2 linked regions of the Drosophila melanogaster genome follow. The protein of the gene in region 1 purifies or fractionates together with the protein of each later gene. This does not show direct contact. Each region holds a gene or a part of one and is shown on either strand. Other genes may lie near its edges.

Region 1 (3,753 bases):
GCTTCAAAGCCAACTGACGTCTTTTTCGTACATATGATCTGAATTCAAGTTAGGCGTGCCAAAAAGTTAACTTATAAGCTTTTTACCACAGAAGAGAACATATACTCTTTGGCCTAGAGACAAGAATATATAATTTAATATAAAAATGTATTTTTATTATTATTGGCTTATGTCTGTGCTATAAAACTTTTCATTTCCGGTTTGAGCCACCACTACGTTTGCAGGTATGTTTCGGTATATTTCCGGTAGATGGTGTACCCGTCAGTGGTTTCCCTTACCGGCCCCCAAACGGTCACACTCGCCCGAGCATAGCAGATTTGGAGAAAAAAACAACTGTAATTAGGAGCCATAATTAATTCATTTCGAATCGCACACGCTTTTCAGTTTATCTAGCCGAAAGTACAGAATGTTGGCCTCCGCCTGGCGCAGCGTGGCCACCTCCGTGGAGACCCAGTTGACGGCCACCTACTTCCGAGGTTCGTCCAGCAATCCGACACTGCTCCTGCGTTCCTGGCGGACGATTCCTCGAGCGGATGCCCCTGGTTTCGGAGCGATTCGGCGGCGTTTTCTGGCTGTGCCCGTCATCTGTCCAAGTCTCGTCAAGCGTAATCTATCCGTACATACGTGTTTAATCTAATCTCTCCCGGTGCTGCAATTTCATTTCCCAGTATCTACGCTTTTTGTTCGTCCGTAGCTAGTCAGTCTGTTTATCTGTTGGCCATCTATGTAGCTAAATGTGAAACCATCGCTTCGTTTCAGTGCAAAAACTACGAAAAGTCGGCTTCAGAGGCATGCACAGCACATTGGAGGACGTGCAGCTGGAGGGCATGGAGATCAAGATCCTGCCGGCCCTGCAGGATAACTATATGTATCTGATTGTAGACACGAAGACGCGCGAGGCGGCCGTGGTGGATCCCGTGGAGCCGGAGCTGGTCATTAAGACGGTGCAGGAGCAGCAGCTGACCCTCAGCAAGGTGCTGACCACGCACCATCACTGGGACCACGCCGGTGGCAATGAAAAGCTGCTCAAGCTGTGGGAGAAGGAGCTGGACGTGTATGGCGGCGATGACCGCATCGGGGCATTGAACAAAAAGGTTCAGCAGGACGACACCTTCACCATTGGTGGTCTGCATGTCAAGTGCTTGTCCACGCCGTGCCACACTACCGGCCACATCTGCTACCACATCACCGCGCAGCAGGGCAGCGGCGAGGGAGCCGTCTTCACCGGCGACACCCTCTTCCAGGGCGGATGCGGCCGCTTCTTCGAGGGCACTCCCGAGGAAATGTACGAGGCGCTGTGCACAAAGCTCTCCGCCTTGCCGGACGCCACAAAGGTGTTCTGTGGCCACGAGTACACGCTGCAGAACATGAGCTTCGCCCGTCACGTCGAGCCCGACAACGAGGTCATCCAGCAGAGGATCGAGTGGGCCAAGCACCGGCGCGCCTCCCAGGATCCCACTGTGCCCTCCACCATTGGCGAGGAGAAGTCCTGGAACCCCTTTATGCGCGTTCACGAAGCCACCGTGCAGAAGCACGCTGGCGGAGCCACCGATCCCGTCGTCACCATGGGCAAGCTGCGCAAGGAAAAGGACACCTTCAAAGCCTGATCTATTTCCTCGAAAGTTTCGAAACTTGTGATTTAATATTGGATTTTAATGGTTAATAAAATTAACGATGTGTGTGAAGTGCGGACAATGGATTTTTAATTATTCGCAATTTATCGGATTAAAACTTTTTTTGTTTTATTCAAATTATGACATAAATTTATTTCTTCAGCTTTATTTAAAAGAATTTATTTTTGGTATTTTGGTCTAGCAACACCCTAGAGAAGAGGGTACTGGTTGATTCCAACTTTATTCATAGAGCAATGAACTTAACAAATTTTTTAAATCCAAAGATTTTAGCAAATTTCGTAAAATTTGAATCACAACGGTTTTGGTTAGGCGTTAGTGCCTTTTGGGCATATCAAAAATACTTTTGGTATTTCTAGCGATCTATCGCCAACGATCTGGCAACACCGTCTGCCATTAACACAAAAATCGCGGCGTCTCTCCAATGGGATTTTGAAATAAAAACAAGTTAACAGCACGGCGCGATGAACGCAAACAAACGCAGAAGTTCGGTGGGTTCTTCGAAAATTAATTGATTGAGAAGCGCTCATGGTAGACCTACTCTTCTTGCAGCTGCGTAAGGTGCCGACCAAGGAAGATGAGGCGACCACAACAACGTCCGCGATCAAACAACAAATCAAGCGACGCATCAGTTTCAGTGGCAAGAAGTCCGTGAGGTACGTACAGTAGATATATGCGATGTACAACGCTCACCCGCCCTCCACATAGGGAATTCGTAAACACCAAGGAGACCAACAACTGGGACGACTCGTACGAGGTGTCGGAACACCATGCTGAGGACAGCTCGGGATCGAAGTGCTGCAGCACAGGATCAGCATCAGTAGCGAGGGTTTCCGAACATGCCGACAAGGAGAACATTCCCCTGCCCAGCCACTGCGAGCGGGAACATGTCGATCTGTCCGTGAATCTGCAGGCCAGCGTGGATTTCACCCTGCTGCCCTGCGAAATGATGGACAAATCGAGGAAGACATCCTCAATCTCTGCTGTGTCCTTTTGCATGACCTCCGAGGAGCGAAAACTGTTGCAAAGCAGTCTCAGCGACCGCCAGCTGGTAGACAAGACCATGGATCTGATATCCGGATCTCTCGTCAACCGCCACCAAATCGCGTCGAGCGTTTGTGAGGAATCCTCCATCAAAGTGGCAACAAACAAACTGGAGAAGGTGGTATTCACGCCAGCTGTCAAGGCTGTGAGTGACTCCTTCATGGACATCACGCCATTGGGATTTACTGATCCCAATCCTGCTGCTCCCGCTCCAGCTCCAGTTGCAACTCTATATCCTCCAACTCAACAAAGTTTAATGGAGCTCGAAGAGGACAGCATTGTAAGGGAGATGCGTGAGTCCACCAAAAACCAGACAAAAACTCCGGCGCAGAAATCGCTTTTCATGGACGTGGGGGAGACCAAGAATAAAACCCAACAGGGAGCTGGAGGTGCATCCTTCTCATTAAATGGTTAGTATTATCTCAGTTAAATCCCTTCCCAATAGTTTCTAATTAGCAAGTTTTCGGTTGTCACATTATTTTGCAGTTTCCAATAACCGAGATCGTTCGCCATCGAACTCCTTTGAGAGCCTTAATAGCACCATGAACTTTACGAGAGATGAGTCGATGCTGATACCATTCGACATGATTTCGGGGAAAAACATAAGCAAGAAACTCAATTTTCGTCAACTCAACGAAGACCTGGAGACGGGTAAGATCCAGATATTTCCGAACGGGCCAAAAACGCCGACCACGGATCGTAAGGCCAAGAAAAATCGGTTTTGGTGCGGCCTTGAAGAGGAGAGCGCGGGAGATAATAGTCCAAAGAAAGATATAAGAAGCATAGTGCCACGAGGAATGTTAAATTTCAGTGAGAACATGACCTTGACGCCGACGAAAACAAGTCCAGTTGGAAAGAACAAGGAGAAACTAAAGGCGGCGGATGAGAAGCAGAAGTATCGACTATCCCAGGCGGATGAGATGATGCTTGACAATACAAACTTCTTGGCCCACGCCAGACTAGGCGACGAAACGCAGTCGAGAAATACGTCGAAGAACTCGACAAGAAGGGAGACAACTTGCGAAACCTCGGAACTGAATTTGGAATATCCTACGTTAAGTCAGGACTTTCAACCCAT
Region 2 (3,753 bases), on another chromosome or scaffold:
CGCGGCTTTGACTTTTTGGCATTGACCGACTTGTGAAGGTTAAGCAAGCGCATAGAGCTCTCCTGAGATTCGATTGTAGCTCGAGCCCGATTACTACTGCGCAAACGCCGTTGCCGGGTTGTGTTCCCACCTGAAGGAGCTAGATTTAATGGCACAGTGCTGGGATGTTCGTCGCTTTCGTCGTCGGTCATTATGGCATCCATATTTTCTTCCACCCGCGGCAGTTGTGCAATGGATTTCTGGGGAGAGGCAGCGGCGGATCGCCTAGGAGAAGGCGCAATCGGTGGTGAAGATAACGCCGTAACTGGCGAAGTCGGAACAGATTTCATTGCGACAGCGTCCCTTCTTACACTACGATTCGAATTGGATGTGTTTATCACCACAATTGGGCTGATCGCGCTGCGCGACAGAGTCTGCACCAACTCTCCCAGATCCTGCGGCTGGGTTTCCGGCACTACGAACTCCGGTTGGGGCTCTGATTGCCAGGCTGGGTCGTGACTTTGTCGCTCTGGCGTGTCCGGGACCATTAACTCCTGATTGAACCGCTTTGCCTTAACTACTGGCATTTTGCTCGGTGTGTCATAGCGATGTGATGGCGATAGCAGCAGCTGGCCTGGAGCTGGGCCCTTTTCCATTGTGTAGGTACGTCGTAGGCCCGCAACGGATGGTGATGACGGAGTAGGGGGTCGCGAGTACGGTGCCCGTCCAGAATAGTCCAGCTGCAGTACATTCTTGTGAAAGGAACTCTGTCGCTCTTTGCAGATTTGTTCAATTTCAGCTGCAAGAATAGGGTTCCTGGCAGGTGAGGTCACCTTTGTCTGCAGCGGATTTTCCGGCTCTGGTTCTTGTGATAGTTCCATAGGTTTTTCCGCTGGTTTATCAGTTTCCACTCTTGTTGTATTTTTGGCAACTTCCTCTTTTTGTTTCTCTGTGCAAGGTGTGCTGCTTATTTCTGGTAACTAAAAGAGCATTGTTGTTAGTACAAGGATTAGGTATTTGTGGGACATGTATTTAACATACGAAGTTTACAGGACTTGATATGCTGCGGGTCAAGTTTACGGTCTCCTCAAACTCTGGAAGCAATTGGCGTCCACAGCTCCTGGACCGCCGGCGGATGGCATGTCGACGTAGTTTATCAGATCCGGGTACATTTCCACTGCGGCGCATGGAACGTCGGTTATTGGGCGACAATGTTGGCGATCGACGCGGAGGCACGTTCTCATTGGGGGCCTGGTCCACAGGCGGCTCATTGACTTTCTCGGTGGCGGCACTGTTTTTGCTGACCAACTCCCCAAGGGGCTGTACTTCTGGTAGTTTGGACTTGGGCTTAGCCTGAGACTTCTTGATCAGTGGAACCTCGAAATCAAGGTCAAAGTCAAGTTTGAAGTTTCCAAAGAGATTGTCATTCTGTGCCGGCTTATTTTCGGCAAGCTTGCGCATCATAAAGGCGGCGAAGCGCTCCTTGTCCTTCACTGGCTGGCTTAGGATGTCGTCCAGCTCCAGAGTGTCGTTGTTCTGGGGCTTCGACCTGAAAAACAGACGGGTGAGCTCGGAGTTTGTATGTTCTCTTGCCTATGGCATGCTCGCGGTGGCAACTTACATATTTGCAATTGAAACTTGAAAAAAGGATTCTTCACGAAGTTACATACACGACAACAATAAACTTAACTTATTTCGCTAAAACTCCACAAAATTTTAAACTACAAAAAAGACGCGACGCTATTCATTTGGCGTTGCCAGTAACGTCTGTAGGCGCGCCTAGGTGGGGTGTTGCCAGAGCGCTCGAATAGACTATCAGAAAAGAGCTATAAATATCTAAAAGTTTCTTTGATAATAATAAGACATCACCCTGTATAATTACAAATGCATGATGCAATCGTTTTTAAACAGTTATTGTTAAATACAGCTGAGTTTATTTCAAAAGTTTTTATTGAAAATATACTCGAAAGCGTTGACCAGCAGGCAACCATTATATGCAGTATTTCATTACTAAAATATACTAAACGCGTAAAACGCAAGCTGGTCACACTTTGCCGGCAATTTTTGTTGACAAAACAAATCCAAAATGTTTAAAGCAAACTAAACCGACTTTTCAGATTGATCTATTTGTTCGAATTCACTTTATAACAACTGGAAGCAGCTTTGAAAAGCAACCAAAAAGTGGAGCTATACATTTTCTGCGAGAAGGCATGCAATAGAGACGCTGTGAAAACGACTTTGCGTTCGAGGTTTTGATTCTGTTGGAAAAGGATTACGATATCCATATAACCAGAGATTGGAGTTTTTTAACTGAATTCATGAATTCCCAATAAGATCCCCTATTCCACAGCACCAATACTCAGTAGTATAAGGCTGGCCAACTGTAATAATGGAGCTTGGATAGCTTCAAAGTGACCGATTGACATGACTTTATAAGTTAGTTATTTATTAAAGGTTATTAAAGATTAGGTATTCGAATGTGTTAGTAATGAAATAAGAAGCAGACGAATGGTTCATTTGAACTTCTTTCCGCCCTTTCTCGTCGTAGGAGCATCCACGCTGGGCACCTGAACGGAGTAATACTTCGTGGAGATCCTGTTAAGGAAGTAGAGCCCCACCAGGGAAAAGAGAACACTGGTGGTGGCGCAGACACGATGCACGAGTCCCGCGGCGGCCACCGTGAGTGAGAGACAGAAAATAATCTCTGGTAGCAGCTTGGCCTGGAAGTCCTGGCCGAAAACAACCATCTCCGCGTTGGAGACGCACGTGAGGCTCAGGATGAACACCCAGGAGAAGAGGTATCCGCCCAAAAGGACCCTCAGCTGCGAGTCGTTAAACCATTCTGAGCAGAAACGCAGTGTGCCGAACAAAACAATGCTCAGGAGGCCCGAGATGATGGAGGATACCACGGTGCTCTTACTGCTCACTGAAGCGGCTGCAAAGGTTCAGAGTTTAGTTTTTGTTGGCCGTAATTTCCTTGCATTTGCTTACACATATTACTTTTTCTTCCAGCCGGCGTCTTTCTTATACGTGTAGTGAATTATCGAACTATCGAAACTGATATTTGATAATACAAGGGATATTCCAGTATGTAACGACTAAACAAAGTTTTATTCGTTAGGCAGGCATTTTTCTCTATTTTTTTTACGTATTTACATGAAAAATTCTCGAATGACAAATTTGTGCTTGCAATAAAAATAAAAACAGATATCGTTATTTAAATACTGACATCGATAATTTTTTTTGAGAAGTAATATTTAAATCAATTGATGTGGCAACGCTGCGGCTTTCGTGGTGAATGACATTTGTAGTAACAACATTACACTTGAGCACAATTTTAATAAATTGTAAATAAAAAACGCCTTCAACATGTCCTTTGTGTTGCAATTGGCCACCAGGACAGTACGAAGTACCATTGCTCAGGTGCGTGGCGTAGCCACCACAATGCCAAGGCAAATAAAAGAGAGTGAGTTACAGAGACCTCTGTGAAGTGTTTCATAACCCCTCAAATAAATGCACATCTTTAAAATTAATTCGAATTTCTGTTCAATGCCTGTTCCAGTTCATGAGAAGCAGGAGAACAGTGTAAAGATCTTCGAGGGCGTTAATGTGGAATCGCCGCGTGCTCACCTGATGCTTAAATCCGCCTGCCAGACCAAGTTTTGCCCGGAATGCACCTTGGGCCTGGACATCAAGCACACGGATGTGCTAATCCTGTCGCAGTATGTCCGTTCCGACGGCTGTATGCTGCCCAGAAGGATCACCGGACTTTGC

Evidence for each region. Proteins that work in one complex are often made in the same cells at the same time.
Region 2: the proteins of Spc105R (region 1) and Cenp-C purify together in Drosophila melanogaster (affinity purification with mass spectrometry; 3 studies listed by BioGRID, with this or other methods). This does not show direct contact.

What each region holds. Positions count from the first base shown.
Region 1 is NT_037436.4:20,798,384-20,802,136, forward strand, and holds the start of Spc105R (Spc105-related), read left to right. Parts: upstream 1-2,026; 5' UTR 2,027-2,095; coding exon 2,096-2,122; exon of another isoform or gene 2,123-2,159; coding exon of another isoform or gene 2,160-2,183; coding exon 2,184-2,287; intron 2,288-2,339; coding exon 2,340-3,085; intron 3,086-3,161; coding exon 3,162-3,753. Other genes in the region: tzn (tenzing norgay), read left to right, coding at 407-605, 760-1,607.
Region 2 is NT_033777.3:8,562,104-8,565,856, reverse strand, and holds the start of Cenp-C (centromeric protein-C), read right to left. Parts: upstream 1,753-3,753; 5' UTR 1,603-1,752; coding exon 1,601-1,602; intron 1,529-1,600; coding exon 1,021-1,528; intron 960-1,020; coding exon 1-959. Other genes in the region: CG31460 (uncharacterized protein), read right to left, coding at 2,493-2,914, 2,971-2,974; mRpS18A (mitochondrial ribosomal protein S18A), read left to right, coding at 3,349-3,445, 3,542-3,753.